2 linked regions of the Oryzias latipes genome follow. The protein of the gene in region 1 purifies or fractionates together with the protein of each later gene. This does not show direct contact. Links are inferred from orthologs where the notes say so. Each region holds a gene or a part of one and is shown in the gene's direction. Other genes may lie near its edges. The genes, in order: glypican-1 and hadhb.

What was found.
Region 2: the proteins of glypican-1 (region 1) and hadhb purify together in Homo sapiens (co-immunoprecipitation; 3 studies listed by BioGRID and IntAct, counting the BioPlex papers as one, with this or other methods). This does not show direct contact. The link is inferred for Oryzias latipes from reciprocal best matches to the Homo sapiens genes GPC1 and HADHB.

What each region holds. Positions count from the first base shown.
Region 1 is NC_019875.2:23,990,029-23,999,853, reverse strand, and holds the start of glypican-1, read left to right. Parts: upstream 1-4,672; 5' UTR 4,673-5,353; intron 5,354-5,492; 5' UTR 5,493-5,821; coding exon 5,822-5,981; intron 5,982-9,825. UniProt on the Homo sapiens protein: Cell surface proteoglycan that bears heparan sulfate. Binds, via the heparan sulfate side chains, alpha-4 (V) collagen and participates in Schwann cell myelination.
Region 2 is NC_019882.2:19,090,214-19,100,075, reverse strand, and holds the start of hadhb (trifunctional enzyme subunit beta, mitochondrial), read left to right. Parts: upstream 1-3,212; 5' UTR 3,213-3,227; coding exon 3,228-3,365; intron 3,366-4,852; exon of another isoform or gene 4,853-4,866; coding exon 4,867-4,930; intron 4,931-5,009; coding exon 5,010-5,051; intron 5,052-5,126; coding exon 5,127-5,223; intron 5,224-5,343; coding exon 5,344-5,388; intron 5,389-6,434; coding exon 6,435-6,534; intron 6,535-6,604; coding exon 6,605-6,692; intron 6,693-6,764; coding exon 6,765-6,952; intron 6,953-7,023; coding exon 7,024-7,204; intron 7,205-7,827; coding exon 7,828-7,949; intron 7,950-8,025; coding exon 8,026-8,105; intron 8,106-8,181; coding exon 8,182-8,229; intron 8,230-8,314; coding exon 8,315-8,402; intron 8,403-8,499; coding exon 8,500-8,574; intron 8,575-9,862. UniProt on the Homo sapiens protein: Mitochondrial trifunctional enzyme catalyzes the last three of the four reactions of the mitochondrial beta-oxidation pathway.

The sequences.
Region 1 (9,825 bases):
ACAACCAAAGCAGCGTCTTTAAAACCTGTAACTGGATTGAAGGACTTGGATCATAATTCCTTAGCTTTGTCACGTTTCCAGTGAGTTCACAACATTTCCCAGGAAGAAGCAGATGAGGGGAGTAGATATTCATTCTTCAAGATATGACAATAGGAAGGAAGGGGGGTGTTAATATAAAAACAGCATGCAGACAAGAGACTATGCTTGTTAGATGAAAATGAGGCACAAGCAAAACCCTTAACTAAGGTAAAATCTTACTGTCTTGTAGTAAAATAAGTTTTTTTTTTCCATACTTTAGTCATTTGATTATTAAAAATAAAATCATTGTTGAAAAACAAAAATGGCAAACTTTCGCAATGACTTTGTCTAACTGTGAGAAATGTAAAGAAAATCTGACTCTTATTAAGATACAAAAAGTTATCATTTCTACATTTAAATTTATTTCTTTGTGTATTTCATGTGCATTATTAATAAAAAGGGAAAGAATGTCTTCAAACAGATCTGCATAAAAACACACAATAACCCTATATTCACCACAGCCTGTGCTCTGCCAGAACTAATACTTTGACTGTTTTCTTTCTCTACTTTTAACATGTTTTGTCTTGAATATGTGTGCAGTTTTTGTGCTACTTTTTCCTTCCCATTTATCTGTCATCTTCTTAAAGTGACTGATTCATCAATTTTCCTCTTTTTATCTTATTTATTATAAGATAAACTTAATAAACTAAAGTTTTCCTTTTTTTTTCACAAAAAATCTTCACTTTAATCTGCTTGTCCTTTACACTTATCAGCAGTTCCTTATTTTTCTCTCATCACTTATCTTCAGCAGCTGGAGAAAGATTCTCCTCTATACAGAGGCTGCGTTTGCATAAAACAACAACATCAGGCTCTCAAGCTTCATGATTCACAGGAGTAAAGCCGAAGATAAATTGTAACTTGTATTTTTGTAATTTGTAATTTTGTAATCATGTGAGGTAAAGGGTAAAGCAAAATAGATATATTTACATATTCATTTAGAAGAATAATGTGCCCACTCTAAAGAACTTTATAGTGAATGTGTTGATACAAAAACTCAGCGGATCAAGAATCAATAGTGGCTGTGAGGAGCCCTGTGTGAGACTGGTTTAAGAGAGATAACACAGTGATCTCTCTATAAATACGGAATAAATCTGTAAAACTGCACAATGGTATTTACAGCCAAATCATGCTGAGGCTGATAGATGGTCATTTTATACAACACTGAATCACAACTGTTTTGTTGGAGGTGTTGGTTTTTGCATTTTACATCTTAAAAATGATGCTTATGTACATAAAACTGTATTTGTGACTTTACTAAGAGCATTCTGTGCTTTTATATTCCTGAGCCCTGCAAAAAAAAGAATGAAAATAACATGATTATTTTTGTACAGCTTGTATGATTGTTGGTCCTGTAAATATGGGTGGACAAAAAAATAAAAACAATTAAACTATATGAAAAGGCTCCTAAGAGTAAGATTTTTTTAACTATGCTGGAACCAAAACTAAGAATAATTTCCTGGCATTTTTCTCACGATAGAGGACATATTTTAGGAAAGTTCAGCTCAAAATTGCATTTCTGAATATTGCTTTAGTCAAATTATTGTGAATCAGGAAACAGAAGACAAAAAAAATGTTGTTTGAAAAAGTTTGCAGTTGTGATATACGAAAGATAACAGCGTTGCTGCAGAGGGATGTCCAGAGTCTGGCTTCTTGCTTTGATCTGGGGGATCCTGGAGAAGTGTCCCCTGTGGACATGGGTGTGTGTGGGGGGGTGGACAGGTACCAAAAATATACAGTAATTTCCCCACTTAAGTATTAAGCTGGATTTCTTCTTCACATCATACTGAATCATTTTATGCATTATTATGTTTGTGATTGCGTGGCGAGGTAGAGCATTGGTGGTTGGACGTTGTACTGTATGAGTTTTGTCTTGCTTTGGGTTTTTAAAAATTGGAAAATGTTTTTATGTTAAGCGCTTTGAGTTATGTCAGTCCGAATAATGCTATACAAATATTATTTGATGTGGTACAATCGAAAAGCCACAAGCTCCATGCTCCCTTGCATTCTGATGTATCCGCGTGCAGACGACTAAATCCATGTACCTCTTTGTTGTCCTCATCCATGCTGGCATCTGGATCTAAACTGTACAGCTGGATAACTTCAATATTGCTCGCCAAATTTTTGTTGCACCGATAATGATCAGTTGGGGATGTGAGGGGCTGTAAGCCAGCGGGAGAGCGTGTGAACAGAGTGCTCAGTTATGGATGACGGGAAAGGAGGCTGGGGCTGCTCTGTGCCAAGAGTCCCGCCCACAACTCAGAGGCAAATTTCTAAAGAAGTACTGCCGCTCTGCAGAATTTGTCCTAGAAAACACAATTTTTTTGTCTGTTTTATTGGGTATAAACAGCATAATCATAATTTAAAGACCACTGGGGACCAATTTAAAATACATTAAAAGATGACTGTAGTAGGATTTAAGGAATGTTTTTTTGTAACTCTCCTTTTCATTTTTTTTTAGGAATACACACTATGTTGAAAGAATATTGTATATGAAAGTTAAAATCCAGCAGAGTTCTAGAAATGATCATCAGTCCCTGACAATGCTAAGCTCTAAATTACTGCACATGGACTCCAACTTACTGTTGCTTATTTATGGCCTCTCACCCCCTTCATTCCTCTGTCTTTGCTACCATTCTGCCGGTCTCCTGAACTTCCCCGGGCTTCCTGTTCCTCATTAAGCAGCCTTTCATGGTCAGAGCCAATAAAACTTCAATGAGAAGCAGCCCGCAAAAAAGATGGCTGTTCTGCGGCTTTATTGAGCATTAATTGCATAATCCTCAAACCAAACAGTAGAAGGCCAATCAGTTCTTGAACATCCTGACCGACCTATGACCACATGTGGAACGCAGTCAGACACATAAACTCAAATTTCACACTGCCACTGCCACATACACACAAAGGTCATGTATTCACAAACCCATATATAATACCAACTGACATGTTGTCCCACACTTGCTTTGAGCTTGCTAGACTCATTAACCTCTTGCCACATGTGCTTAACGCCGGCCAATTTTCCTTCACCGCAAAGGGAGGAAAAATCATCACACACAAAATTAGAGGTTTGTCTGACTGTTGTACGCCGCTGTTAGGCTACAGTTCTCAAATTTATCTAAATGATTATGATAATGTGCCAGATTTAACGTGGCACAAATGCACCGTCCACAGTGCAACAAGGAAGACACTCCACATTGCAGAATAAATATGCAATTCGTGCCCAATCATTTCAGATAATGGGTTGTGAGTGTGGCCATTTGTCACTCTGTGAGATGCTGCTCTCTTTGTTTTTGACCTGTGACAAAGGACGAGCTAATTATAGAGTGCCATGTTGTCCTCATAAACAATTTTTCTTTCCAGAAATTCGATGATTTGGGGATAGGAAATGACTCCTGCTGCCATGAGGTTTTCTCCTTCATGACTTCATTTCTTTGTTCGCTTTTTTTTCTTTTCTTTTTGCTTTCTGTCCTGTTATTGCTTCATATTTGAAGATAACCTGTGTGCATGTGTGTGTGTTTTATGTGTCAGTTTAATAATGTGCTGTGGCATCTTACTTGGCAAACAATACTTGAAGTACCTCCCACATGAGTTACACCATCCAACACTGTCTTGTTCAATTTCACACGTATTTATCACAAGGGAAGTCGATGTGACACAACCTGCCTAAAGCTCATAGATTCAGTTGAACGAAACTTAGAAAGAAAGAAAATCAGAAAAAAAGTTCTTCTTGGATATTAAGGCTTCTGCTTTTATTTTAGAAAATACACTTTTCTGCCAAAGCTTTGTATTTTGGCTTAAAACAGAAAGAGAATAATAGGAGACTCGGGAGATGGGCTACAACTGTCGGGTTCCTCAGGTCAAACCACTACTGATCCTGCGTCAATGGAGGAAACAAAGAGAAACTGGATTGTTGGCCAGTGGTCCAAAATGTTTTTTTCGGATGAAAAAAAAAGTGTGCCTTTTGTTTGGGAATCAAGGTCCAAGGGTTTGGAGGAAGACTGGTTTGGAGCAGAACCAAAGCTGCTTGAGGTCCAGTGTGAAAAATCCAGTCTGTCATGATTTGGGATACAGTGTCCAGCACTGGTGTTGGTAAAATCTGGTTTCTTCAATCCAAAATCACTGCAAGACTCTACCAGAATGTTCTAGAGGACTTCAGCTTTTCTTCTGAGGATCTGGATGAAGGTGCAGATCTTATCTTCCATCAGGACCTGGCCGCTGCCCATACTACTATTTACATATTATTTTGTTAAAACTTTATTTTGACTGACTTGATGTGATCATAATCTCTGTCTTTATCTTTTTTTTGTGCAAAAACTGAGAAGTAAACAGTGATTTCTGCACAGTATTTGAATTTTCTGAAATTCAGTTTTCATGGGATTCATGAGCTAGAAGCCCAGTTTATGTCAAAGCAAATCTTGAAATCAAGTAAACAGAGGGACCTTAATCTATATTCTATACATGAATTATTTTTTGGAATAGAATTATAGAAATTAATAGATTTTTCATGATATTTTAATAATTTGGAAAGGCTCTGTAGATCTAAAAATGAAACAGAAAACATCAAAAACTGCAGACATGATGTTAAAGATGTTCTCCTTACTTGTCTTTGTGCTTTGAGGCCACTATGTTACAGCAAAACCGAAAGGCAACGCATCTAAAAAGTTGGACTTTTCCTGACATGATCAAAGTTCACAGTCAGACACGTGTCATCAAATAACAGAGACAGCGCGCACAGAAACTGAGGATAATGAAGGCATTCAGGCAGAGCCAGGTGATCCGGGAAAATCACGGGGCAGATAGTGACTTGTTGGCCGATTAATTGCATCTTGAGGAGTGATCTGGCTCATCCATTCACTGCTTTCCAACATTACAGCTCCGGGTGGGAAAAGGGCTGGCAGGCACGCCCACAGCCTGTGACACCTGGCCGGTCGTGATCAAGCTGTCAAGGCGCGCAGAGCACATTCCTCTGCTGTGGACCAAAACACCTTATGATCCATCACCCGCAGCCGTGAATGTGCCACAGAATGACACAGATCTTAGACAGGGACGGGGAACATCTTTAAAAATAGTATTTGAGCGACACAGGATGAAACCAAACTTGAAGAGTTGCTTCAACCCTCAGCAGCTCCTCGCCTCTCTCCTCTTACTGTGCTGCTGCTCTCCGCCTCTCCCTCATTTCACAGAGTAGCAGCGCTGGCACAGCATCGCTCAGCAACCCCGTGAGCTGCGGTATCTGCATATGCGCACCTCGTTACTCAGATCCCCGGGGCCGCTCGAGCCGGTAGGCGTGAGTCAACAGAACCAGGCTGCACGGCGTCAGCCGGAGCGTTGCTATTTTCTGACGTGACTTAAAATAGATTATTTCAGCTGTAAACGCGTAACCTAATTCTTCTTTCATCCATTTCCTTCTCCCTTTGTAGATGATCCAAAACCATAGCGGTGGATAAACGAGATCTGGACTTATTCAGAGTACCACAAGAGGGGATAGTTCTTTTGGAGAGGAAAATAAAAAGTGCGTTGTCCCGAACAGCTTCAAGAAGAAACGGGACATCTGTGAGGAATCGCCACTGTGCCGTGCGGCGGCGCGTAGAGGGGCCACAGCGTCAGACGGGGAGCAAAAGAGGAGGTTTTTACGCACAGCAGCACCAAGAAACGCGCCGGTCCCCCTCTCCGTGCACTAAACTCAGTATCCTCGTCAGCCACTCGGATTGTCATTTCACTAAGTCTGCATCCTGAAAGGTCGACAGGAATGGAATCTCTGATTATAGCGGCGCTGGCACTGTGCTCTCTAACAGCACCAGCCTGCGGGGACAAAGGCACCAGCAAAGCCCGGAGTTGCTCGGACATCCGTCAGTTTTACGGTGCAAAGGGGTTCTCTCTGGATAATGCCCCTCTGTCCGAAATATCAGGTAGGTTCTTTCAGCTGTTGAGCGCAGTCTTCAATGAAATTCAAGCTCTTTTATGCAAGAAAATAAACTAAAATTTATGGCCAAAAATAAACTAGTGCTTGCTGAGGTTATAAAACTATTCGGAGCTTTTAATAACTTCTGAAAATTGCTATTCCTCCACAACCTTTTTAATTTCAATTTGTTGAGTTAAAGTTAATCAAATTGGAGGCTGAGGACTTGATGACCTGACTATAATGTTCTAAAACCATCTATTTTTAAAATGTGTTTAAAGAAAGCACAAAATACATTTATCTATTCATCTCTAATGTGTGGCAATCATTTCGTATCACATGGTGCCATAAAACAGAACCTCTTTTGCTCTCATGAGATGAAACAGCTCTTTGAAAAGACTTAGAGACAGAGCAAACTCGCCACACACTGTCTGGCTGTTTGATCTCAGGAAAAGGGTGAAAATAAAATATAATAAAGTCTCCTCAAACTCTCATCTTAATATTTTTGAGAACTTCAAGAAGTTACGCTTTTTTCAGTGTAACTTTCACTCTAACATTCTGCAATTGGGTTGACCTCTTTTCAAACAGGTACCGGCAATTGCCTGCATATTAAGTTGTCAGACATTTAGTCATCCACAAAATATTGTAAATTTAAGGTTGCCCGATTGGTCAGTCGTGGTCTGATGTCAGTCACAAGTTTCTCTGGTGTTCAGATGATTGCATGTTTGCCTCCTGTGGAATTCAGTGCCAAGCATTCACACCAATACACACACACAGTTCCTGGTTACAATGCTATGAACACCAGCGAGCATAGACAAGATGTGAGACCTTACATCCACCCCACTGTGAGTTCATTCAGAAGGATTTCAAGGAACTTTGAACTTTTTATTCTTTTTCATTATTCTAAAACGAGGATCTGGTAAACTGGAATTCCTAGTGTTGAGGGGTTTCTTGCAATGGTATTTTACCAAAGTATGAACCACTTTGGCCAATTTCAAGGCATAACCCAATACAAAAAGTACAGCGATTATTGCCCTCTATGTGTACATTTAGTTTAGTGCCCTCACGTTCAGTGTCAGGCTAAGATAATGAATCCTAAAGTTTGCCAGTGAGAAAAGTTCTTGCCTCATGATCATAAAGCACCGTGTGCACCTGGCCGTTCAAATAAATATAACTGAATGGAGTATCATCCTGGTTCCATTGTGGCTGAATCTCTGTGATATCCTCCCGACGCAAACACTTTTTCTGGTTTGGTGCTGATTCAGTCCTTTTGGAGATAACTATGGGATATAACTCATCAACAGCAATGTTTGGAAGAGTTTATTAGAAAATTATTAGAAAACATCTACCAAGGACCCAAGATTTGCTTGAACTTCAATTATTTGTCACACAGCAGTTGGCATTATAATTCACAAATGAGCTCAGTATCTACACTGCGATTATTAAATTTGAAGGAGGGGCAGTAATGTAATGAAAGCATAATCTTGTATATCCTTTCATTTCAATTCACTGCAGTGAGGGCAAGTGGCAGTGGACACTGGCAATTTACTTGATTGACCACACTGAATAAAACATTTGACAAAATTTATACCAGCTCTAGTTTTGTTAGAGACCCAACTTTTTTCCAAATGCCTGCAATCCAAGCTGCTTTAAAGAGCAAATCTGTCATGTCATTACGCCAGCAATCCCTCTTTTTTCGATCAATGGTGTGGAGTTTACTTAAGAATGAAGTCACTATATTAGCGTAAGAGAGAAAATCTTGGAATTAGGCATGGAGGAATGAAACAAGGACAAATTTGCTTTTCTACATTCAGAATATTGTGCTCAGTGTCACATTTACTTGATTTTATATGAATAAATCACATCAGCTATTCATAAGCCGTAGCCTGGCATGAACACATCGTAAAACATGAAATGTTTGATTTATGCCTTGAAATTATGAGCTGCTTGGATATTGTGGATGCTCCCTGACATTTGCAGAGGGTATTTCCTTCTGTGACACCAGGGTTTGATCAACTTAATGTATTGGCTGAGCCTGACTCAAGGTCACATGCTGAGCACACCAGCAAGATTCGAGGAGAGCCACTTGCTTCCCAAGTCTGAAAATTATGTTCAGTTAAAGCAATTAAATGTCCGACATCCAGCTGATGGAAAAAAAATCCTGGAGACAAAAGCTGTTATAAACCCATTAGGTTTTGTTTTAAATGGTACATCAAACCTGGAAATATATGCAAATGCAGTTTTTATCTGCAGATTTACAAAGAAAAGTGTGCTTTTTATTTTACGTTATTGTATTCCATTTGTACTGAAAAATAATTTGATTCTATGTATTTATCTGTACAGTTTTATTTCGTTACTGACTTTGAAAAACAACTTTTTTGAAATACTTGAGTTAAAGTAGAAGAAAAATCCCAACATAATTATCTTTTCTCTGTTGGATTAGGCTTAAAAAATGGTGTTAAACAATTTCAAGACATTGCTTTTAAGTAGACACGGCTCATAAAACATTCAGAATAGCTGTAAGTTCTTAAGTAACTTTGGCTTGAGGAAAGCGATGCAGAAGAACTAAGATAACAGTGAGCTGTTTGTTATCATTGTGCCGAAGCAATGCTTAGTGGACCATTGCTGTGCATAAAGGCCATGCTTTTTAAAAATAAAGTTCATGGGGAACAAAGTTAATTGATTGATGGTTAGAGAACGGATACAATGAGTCAACTCTGCAGAGGGTAAGCAGTTTTGGAGATAACTTTTTTGGGCAGTGTTTACTAAAAAACATGGATGATTGATTTTAATGATGTGGGCCTGTTTCCTTTTTGCGCTGCCCCCTCCCTGTCCCACCCTATCATTATAGACTTGATCTTTTTTGTCTTCCAGGAAATCACATTCTTTATCTCTCTGTGTCTCTCTTAAAGCGATAAAGATGGCAGGCACTCTTTGAAAGCAGCTGGAAGCCAATAAGACTTAGATCCTCAGTGTCACATAAGTCTATTCAAAGGAACTAAATGTGTGAGACATCTGCAGGAAGGCCAGTCACATTTTGGAATTGATTTTCCCATACTTTATTTATGTTGTTGTTGATTGCTGGTTGCAACAGCCTGACAGCCCTTTCTGGTGTTTTTGGAGCATCATTTCTAACCAGCGTTTGACTAATGATACAGTGGGAGCGCTGCTCACCAGCCCTGCTGAGAATCCATGCAAACTAGTCACTAAGTACTGCCTTGTGACTGAAAATATGGAGTGTTAAGTATAGTAAACTTGAGTAAAAAGTACTGGAATGCTTTGAAGACAGCTGTTTTTCACTAAAATTAAGAGTAGGTCTACAAATGCATAACAATAGTTCTTAGCTTGTACCAAAGCTTAAAGCGTTAGAAAACCTCATTGGATTTTTTTACTTTTCTTTATTGAGATGGAGGCATTAAACATTGAAAACATGTGTGCTGTTTAATCTCTTTTCACAGAGCTATACCAAATAATGAAAGTAAAAACAGCAAATTCTCCTCCACATTTTCAACATCACTGCCCTGATAAAGTTGATCTTTTTTTTAACATATGATGAAATAAAGTTGGAAACACAGGTGTCATACAACTGTAACAAAATGAGCTTTGTTTTTTCTGATATGACAGTAAATTCATCATCCTTAACTTTGGTTATTCCATGCTATTTAAAACTTTGAGATGTTCAGCTGTTGCTCACATACTGGCCTCCAGGGATTTCCTGAATCCTTTGTTAGTTGTGTTTCATCAAAACAATTGGACATTTCCTTTTGCGGTCTGGGGAGACATCTAAGATGGCAAATATTTTATGGGCTTATACTGAAATATTTTAGCTGTAAGCCCAGCTCTGACATGTGTTA
Region 2 (9,862 bases), on another chromosome or scaffold:
TATCAGAGCCCCCTTTTATGGGTTTTAGGTATCCAATACACTAAAACGCTGACATGAAGTAACACATAGATTTCTCCGGATGTACCTCAGACAGCTTGTTCAGAAATACTTGATTTAGGAATGCATAAAAATAAATGTAATCCAACTGAAAACAGTCTTCTTTCCTCGGTTTTTTTCTTCATTTATTTTTATTTCATACACTAAATAATAAACGGGTTTATAAAAAAAATCTCTCCAAAATAGAGAAAGAATCAATAAAAAATTGCTAACCATTTAAAAAAGTGTTTAGACACTTATGATCATGTAGTTTGTTCTTTAAGTCTCTCACACTGTGAGTGTAAGTGTTCCCAGTGGTCTTTTTAATCATGATGGTGTCGTTTTTAGCCAAAAAGAAAGGAGGACGTCGTTTCTGGACATAGTTTTTGATATTTCTAGCACTGTCTGGTTTCATCAACCCCACTTCCTTTGAGTGTGGAATGTATTAGTACCCGGCCATTAACATTTATTCACTTCCTCTGTTTATGTCTCTGCTTTGGAACATCTTTGCCTTGTGATGTTAATGTGTGAAACCCGACTGGACCCAACAGGTCTGACATTAGGAGAAGATAATCCCTTGGTTCCTTTGTTTCTTTGTTTCTATACTGAAGGAAAACATGTTAATGCCAAGCGGTGCCCACCCAAGCCTAATTTGAAATCAACACTCCTCAATTCTCCCAAAGGAACCTGGACTCAAAGATCCGAGCGAAACATAAAAACGAGTTTTTTAGATGGCTGAAGGCTGAAATCCCTCCACTTTTTGTCCAATAGCTAAACATCACTGCTTCTTTCAAAAAAGCAGAACGTGAATAAGATCATAGCCAGAGGGTGCACCAGCTGTTGTTGGAGCCACCATCTTGACTTCATGTTGACATTATCAGCTCATGAAAGCCCAGAAATGACTGTCTTGACCTTCTTATACTCAACTGAAGCTTGGCAGCCACTTGCTAAAGACTGTAGGGGTTTCACGCCTTTGTGTTAGGCCCTGATTAGTAATAGAGAGCATGTCCGCACCATTTCAAACAGTCTCTGAGACTTACCTGCTCCAGGCAGCAAGACCTCAGGTGCGGAGGTCACATGCTGGACACCATCCTTCCAAACTAAGGAGTGCTGCTGGAACCACCTCCTGAACGTCTGAGGAAGAATGCGGCTTGGTCTCTGTGAAACGAGCTCTGCAGTCCTTCCTGCATATTCAAAGATGAAAGCTGTCGCGCGATCACGAAAGCAGTGGGTGGGAGGAGCTCGCCAGGTGGGTCACAGGTTCAAATCCCACAGAGATTGTGTCCTTCATCAAGATACATTACCCATTATGCCAGTTGACTGTAAGCAACTTGAAAAGTTACTGTAAAAATATATCAAAAAAGTAAGTAAAAAGCAGACACGATTTAAAGTGTGCAGAGGTTTGGACGCATCCAACCCTCAGATCAACCAGAGGCTTTCATGTTTGGACCAAAAGCCTTGGTCAACTGAACTCATATATATATATATATATATATATATATATATATATATATATATATATATATATATATATATATATAAACATAAACATATAACAAAACCCCACGGCTTTTGTACAGGTCAGCCCCATATGAGTTCAGTTGACCAAGGCTTTTGGTCCAAACATGAAAGCCTCTGGTTGATCTGAGGGTTGGATGCGTCCAAACCTCTGCACACTTTAAATCGTGTCTGCTTTTTACTTACTTTTTTGATATATTTTTACAGTAACTTTTCAAGTTGCTTACAGTCAACTGGCATAATGGGTAATGTATCTTGATGAAGGACACAATCTCTGTATATATATATATATATATATATATATATATATATATATATATATATATATATATATTCATAGATTTCCTTTTACATGATATGTTGAAATTATATTCTTGGATTGTTTCCTAACTCCAGTTTTTCTTTTCTTTTCTTACATTTAAAAACAGCTGATTTGAATAAAACAACAACCCAAAAACTACTTTTGTCATCATCATTTCCAGCAGGCTCTGCTGCATCCACTCGGAAACATGCTCGCATTCTGATTAATCACAGGTGTCAGCGTGAAGGCTGAGACAAGCAGTCAGGGCTGTCATAAACATAATGTGTGACGCCCCGTTTGTGCATACGTCTCCCACAAACACACACTTTTGGCAGCTGGAGTCCTACAACTGCCACATCATCCTGAGCCAGCAGCTGACGGGAGTTCTGGCTGGATGGAGAGAGGGGTAAAAAAATGGAAGAGTCAGTCTGTCAGAAGGCCAGAGATGTGGCTGGTTTATGCTGATTTCGGCTGGTTTAACGCCGTCCCCAGAGAATGTAAACACCATGGCACAACTGCACTTTAAAGTGAGGAAAGGTCTTCCCTTTCTCTGAGCTTAAGAGCAGAAAATATGATCGCTTGAAGGAAAAAACAACAGAAAAACATGTTTTCACTGCACAAAAATAAAAGTAACATTTGAGTTTCCTTCATAATCTGACTCGGACAATCAGCAAAATGCATTTATCATAACTTATTACATTTTGATTTATAATAAGCAGATGAATAAGAGTAGTCTAAAAGTGTTCTTCAAAATAAAATAGGCATAACTAAACATCACATTTCAAGAAAAGATTAAATCAATTATAATAATAATAGTTATTATTATTATTACAGTAGTAATGTGGAGTTTGCATGTTCTCCCCGTGTATGTGTGGCTTTTCTCTGGGGGCTCCGTCTTCCTCCCACCGTCCTAAAACATGCTAGGTTCATTGGTTACTCTATGGGTGTGTGATTGTGGCCCTGTGACAGACTGGCCATCTGACCAGGGCGTCCCCTGCCTTCCCCCGCAAGTGGCAGGGATAGACTTCGGCCGCCCTGTGACCCCAAAAGGGATAAAAATGGATTAGAAGATGAATTATTTTTTTTAAATCATTTTTAAGCAAAAAACATTAGACGACTCAAAACATTTGTACAACGCTTTTTGCAAGTAGTGTTGAAATACAGCTAAGTTATATTTTAAAAATACGTTTTTGGTAATTTAAGAATAAGAGTTGTTTAATATTTTTATCCCCATAGAAAATTGTTATAATAATATTATGATTTTTTTAAATATTATTATTATTATTAGTAGTAGTAGTAGTAGTGGTAGTAACAGCAGAAGTAGTATACAAGTCATGGGTATTTACTTTTTTATAGTATTTTTTGATCAGACATGTATTTAAGCAGATATGGATTTCTGTTCAGGCACATGTTTGGACAGCTTAGGCATTGGTTGGGTCCTGTTCAGGAGTGTAGTCCTCTTGGATCACCGACAGGGAAGCAGAAGCTCCGTCATTCAGCACAAATAAAGGTAAGCGTAAAAGCAGCAGACTCTTTTAGCGTTTAAACTGAATAAAGCAACAATTTGAATTATTTTATCGTTTTACTTTTCTAAGTTTTCCGTTACCGAACCTGCCTGACACATACTTTAGCCACTATGCTAGCCTCCATCATGCAGCACACAACGACACCGCCGTCTATTTTATTTCACCAAAATATTTACATTTGGGTTAAAATGGCTGCTTCAGTCAATAAAGGTATCATAACTATTGATTGCGGTCGTATTTTTGGTCATTTTTGCAGCTGTCATTCCACAGGAGAGCAAAGTGGGTGAAGGGTCACAGTATGAAAGGGTGACCGTCAGACTGATGCGACGTTCACTTACATCAGGAAAATAAACTTTATACATTTCTTTTAGAAATAATCAGATTGTAATGTTTGATACTTACTGTACTGTGATCTAGTCCTCTACTTTGATCAGTTAACCAATATTGACTCATCAGCTATCATTTTTATGATTTAAGGTGGAAAGTTCTGGCTACCTTTCGTTAATTAGCTCTGAACGCAGCAGTGGCCGTGAACGCACCACAAACAATAGTTCACATAGGGGTTCTAGCATTTTTGGGGGGTAAGCTTGAGCTTTATGGGTCAAAGGAGAACAGAGCAGAGATTCAGAAGGAGACTAACTACTTTCTTTAACACAATAAATAGATAAATATGACTTTTCAACGAATATGTCAAAAATGATCTACAAAAATCACTGCGGAAACTCTGCCATAAAAAACATGTAGATAAATTATCTTAATACTAATAATCTAACATACTGGAATCCTAATTCAGCTATGATTACCGGATATATTAACATCTGCTAAATTCACCCCCAGAATGATGGTGGATTGTTAATCAGGTTTTTCTAGCATCAAGTCCAACGTTTGTTATTTCAATGTCATCGGCGACATCTATGGTGTTTAAAGGTTAGCAACAAAAGCAAATTATTTTTATGAACTTTATTCCTTTAATTCGGTTTAAATGCTGCCCATAACAATTTCTCCAAATTCTCTGATATCTGCAATCAGCTCCTGAAAATTTGAGTACAAATATTTATGTCCATTGATTTTCAATCTTTATTACTAGAGTACAGTGTAGCCAAATGCAGTTCAGGAAATGTAAATGTTACCCTAAAATTGCAGAATAATATAGGATTTTATTGGATAAACTAATCTGTGTACGCTACTGTCACAGGAAGTAAATAGATTTTCAAAGTAAAGTATCGTTGAAGGTCCTCATTTTTAAAGTACATCTATCAAGTGTTTTTCATAACGGTGATGTTTACATTCTGAAGTTAATCTGGAAGTTGACAGAAAAATCTTTGATTTTGTCATATTTGGAATTGACAGTTACCGTTTCTAGTATAATACGTTGAATTTAAAATCCGTTTTCAATAAAGTCCAAAAATCGGAGAGTTCCCGAAAACCCAGATGAGTCCGAACTTCTCCGTTGTTTCCTTCACGGCTGCAGGTTTTTCCTTTCAGAGTAAAATGGCTTCCATGCTGCTGCGGCCCACTGCCGCCGCCTCCTCCTGGGCGTCGCGACTCGGTGAGTTTTGTCACAGCCTGGTGATCGGGTCTTCTTGCTCTGGTTTCTCCTTAAATCTGTGAATCACCGTGTCTCCCAGGAGCCCGCCCCCTCAGTGTGACGGCCCCTCTTCAGGCTCAGGGTAAACATATTCACACTACTGAATGTGACTGTCCCTTGGTTGGATCTGAAGTCGCACTTGTTCATTTGTTTTTAGCCCAGACAAAGAGCAAGAAAACCCTGGCCCGTCCCGGAGTGAAGAACATCGTTCTGGTGGAAGGAGTCCGAACGCCGTTCCTCTTGTCTGGAACCACGTACGTTCCTTCTTCAGGATGAAGCTCTTTACCCTGCAGATAACATTGCTTTCACGATGTGTTCAACGTTTTTCAAAACGATATTCATCAGGTTTGAAAAACATTGTCTTTTGTTTCCAGGTATGCTGACATGATGCCTCATGACCTGGCCAGAGCCGCTCTGCAGTAAGTTCCTGCTTAGGTTTAGGCTTTTCCTGGTATCAAGAAGCTAGGTTGGGTAGTTCGGTTTTAATGTATTTTGAATCAGAAACACCCTAAAGATTAGTTTTACATAATAATATATAATCATGATTGCAAATGAGCTTTCATTTTTTATTTGGGAACAAACAAACTTCTTCCAGGTCTTACAAACTTGTCAGAAACGATTGAATGACTGGACTGTTTCCTGCGATGTTACGATCGTGTTCACCTCTGGGAATATCCCTTCAGGGGTCGCCACAGCCAATCAGCTTTCACAGACTCGGACCGGTGGTTTGGCTGAGAGTTTCTACGCCAGATACCCTTCCTGACACAACCCTGTATTTTCAAGGCACAGGGAGACCCAGATAGGCAGAAGCATGAAGGATCTTGTCTAAGGACCCACACTGGATTTTTTTTTAGCTCATTGCACGCCCCGGGAAGTAAACCCAGGTTTCCTGCGTGCCAGCCAATTGCCCCAAAAATACCATCCAGGCCGAGATGTTACGATTAGAATATAGAATTATATGTACTGAAATACCTATAAGTAATAAACTAAACACACTTGTATGTCAGTCAATGTTATCAGGGAACAAATGAAATCCTGGAAAGGAAAAACAGGTTGCTAAGGAAAAGTTTCCGAATGAAAATCCCTTCAGATCTTCATCAGACCCAGACATTAAAAAACCACTACGGTTGCTATGGTGAACCACTTTCATAGAAGTTGCCAAGCTGAATCAAAGTTGACCTTATCTCTCATTGTGTCGTACAGAGATTGAACAAAGTTTGTTTTTTATGTCGCTTGATTTTTTTTTGGGTTGTGATGCTGTATGTTACCATGGAAACCACTCAGAGTTAGACTTGTCAGTGTATGTAAAGTTAGTAATGGAAAAATCAGAGCGTTTTTTTCTTAGAGACCAAGTACCTGTTAGTTTTTAGACGAAACATTTCGAGGAATGATGGGTAATGATGGTATAAGAAGACAGACGTTTAAATAATGACCGAATAAATGGAGAACTTTTTTTTGGTTTCAGGGGTCTGCTGAACAGAACCGGGATCCCCAAAGACGCCGTGGATTACATCATTTATGGAACGGTCATTCAGGAAGTGAAAACCAGCAACGTGGCCAGAGAGGTAGGACACTTCCATGCGGGCGTCAGCTGCTCGCCGTTTTTCCTTTGACCATTTTTGCCGTTTCCTGCAGGCAGCTCTGGGGGCAGGCTTCTCGGACAAGATTCCAGCTCACACCGTCACCATGGCCTGCATCTCCTCCAACCAGGCCATGACTTCAGGTGAGCTCCAGGTCAGCGGGAGAGCCGCTGTCGTTGGGATTCAGCGGGACTTGAACCTTTTTTTCTGTGCAGCTGTCGGGCTGATTGCTGCAGGTCAGTGTGACGCCGTCGTCGCAGGCGGGGTGGAGTTCATGTCCGATGTTCCCATCCGGCACAGCCGCAAGATGAGGAAGACCATGCTGTCCCTGAACAAGGCCAAAACTCTGGGGCAGCGGCTTAGCCTGATCGGCAGCATCCGACTGGCTCACCTGTCCCCTGAGGTAAACCCAGCTCTGACTCTGCAAATCTCACCTGCGACTCTTCCTAAACCCGGAATCTCCCCCGTTTGCAGCTTCCCGCCGTGGCGGAATTCTCCACGGCAGAAACCATGGGCCACAGCGCTGACCGGCTGGCCGCTGCGTTCGGCGTCACTAGGCTGGAGCAGGACGAGTTCGCTCTGCGCTCCCACAGCCTGGCCCAAAAGGCTCAGGACGGCGGGCTGCTGGAGGACGTGGTCTCCTTCAAAGTACCAGGTGAAGCTGAGCTGTTGGGAATGTGTTTACTTGAAACACTCAAAAGATTTAGGAAAAACATCTGAACTTTGGATTTATTTGTTTATTTTTAAGGTAATTTCCAGTACTTATTAGTGATAATAAATAAATAGATAAAAATGTAATAAGATAAATGAGACTATATTTTTTAGCTTTAACATTAAAGCTTTATCTTTCATAAGTGTTCCTCCCAGTGGTCTTTTCATTATTGCCATTTTGACCCAAAATCCAAAAACCTGACTTGTTTTCTAGGCCATCGTTCCTGCAGAGCAGCAGGAGTTCATTAGACCATTCCCCTTTGAGTTGTGGGCGGGACCAGTTTTTCTTTATATATTTCCTCCATCATCAGAAAATTAGCACACAAACGTGATAAAAACACAAAATTTTCATCGGAGAGGGTCTATAAGCTTTTGTCTGACATAAATGGCTTGTAGGTCTTTTTTTTTTCCTCCCATTTATTCACTTTCTCCTCTATTTTTAAAATTCTTTTAAAAATGAATGAAAATCTTAACAACTAGAATCTTTATTTGTGTCATCTAACCGTTGTTGATCGTGTGGATCATTTGGTCAAAGGTTACGTCTGTAAACGGGCTTTCCTCCTCCAGGTCGGGACATCGTTTCAAAGGACAACGGCATCCGGCCGTCCTCCATGGAGCAACTGGGAAAACTGAAGCCAGCCTTCATCAAGCCTCACGGCACAGTCACCGCTGCCAACTCCTCCTTCCTGGTAACAGCTTCATCTGAAGGATTTCATTTGATTGTCCTCCTCATCCTCACCTGTCCATGTATGTGCTGGTCGGCAGACGGACGGGGCCTCCGCTGTGCTCATCATGTCTGAGGAGAAAGCCTTGGCCATGGGCTTCAAGCCCAAAGCCTACCTCAGGTACCCGAGTCCTCTCAGTGAAGCAGAGCAGCAGGACCGCTTCAGAACCACCGACTCACAGCGTTGTGTTTTTCAGAGACTTCGTCTACGTCTCCCAGGACCCCAAAGATCAGCTGCTACTGGGGTGAGTGAGTGTGTCACCGTCTCCACTCACGGCTGGACAGTTTGTTTGTTTGTGTGGAGTCCATAAGGATCTGTTTGACTTACAGGCCGACCTACGCCACGCCAAAAGTTCTTGAGCGGTCCGGCTTGTCATTGAGCGACATCGACGTGTTTGAGTTTCACGAAGCATTCGCCGTAAGATTTTTGTCTAGATCCAAACTTTTCAGTTTTTCTTTTAGGTAGTTTCTTTTTCAGCCTGGTTTCTATAGCAACATCCTTGTTTGTTCCTCAGGGTCAGATCATGGCGAATTTGAAGGCGATGGACTCTGACTGGTTTGCTCAGACGTACATGGGCAGGAAGTCAAAGGTGAAAATTTATGTGGTGCTTTTATTTTTTGTTCAAGAAAACATTTTCTAAACATTTTAGGTGAGGATTAGTTTCAAATTTTTTATTCAAAATGTAAAATATTCTCTTTTGGTGGCTTTTATTGAATAACTTCTATATTTTCACAAGTAAAAAAGAGAATTTTTGCGATGATAAGGGAGAAAATCACTTTTCAAAATGAAGACAGAATGTCAAAAAAGACTTCTTTTGTCCTTTTTTGTTTAGGCATTAACATATTTCTAAATGAAAATTTTACTGATGAAGACTTGGGACTAGATGAGTTACAGCTGTAGACTTGGGACTAGACATGAAGTTATAGCTGGAGATTAGGGACAAGACGAGTTACAGCTGGAGACATGGGACTAGACATGATCTTATAGCTGTAGACTTGGGACTAGACATGAAGTTATAGCTGTAGACTTGGGACTAGACATGAGGTTATAGCTGTAGAAATGGGACTATAAATGATGTTATAGCTGCAGACATGGGACTAGGCATGAGGTTACATCTGTATACTTGGGACTAGACATGAAGTTATAGCTGTAGACTTGGGACTAGACGAGTTGCAGCTGTAGACTTGGGACTAGACATAAGGTTATAGCTGTATACTTGGGACTAGACATGACGTTATAACTGTAAACTTGGGACTAGACGAGTTACAGCTGTAGACTTGGGACTAGACATGAGGTTATAGCTGGAGACTTGGGAGTAGACATGACGTTATAGCTGTAGATTTGGGACTAGACATGAAGTTATAGCTGTAGACTTGGGACTAGACATGAAGTTATAGCTGTAGACTTGGGACTAGACATGAGGTTAAAGCTGTAGACCTGGGACTAGACATGAGGTTATAGCTGTAGAAATGGGACTATAAATGATGTTATAGCTGCAGACTTGGGACTAGACATGAGGTTATAGCTGGAGACTTGGGAGTAGACATGACGTTATAGCTGGAGACTTGGGACTAGACATGAAGTTATAGCTGTAGACTTGGGACTAGACATGAAGTTATAGCTGGAGACTTGGGACTAGACATGAGGTTATAGTTGTAGACCTGGGACTAGACATGAGGTTATAGTTGTAGACCTGGGACTAGACATGAGGTTATAGCTGTAGAAATGGGACTATAAATGATGTTATAGCTGCAGACTTGGGACTAGGCATGAGGTTACATCTGTATACTTGGGACTAGACATGAAGTTATAGCTGGAGACTTCGGACTAGACGAGTTGCAGCTGTAGACTTGGGACTAGACATAAGGTTATAGCTG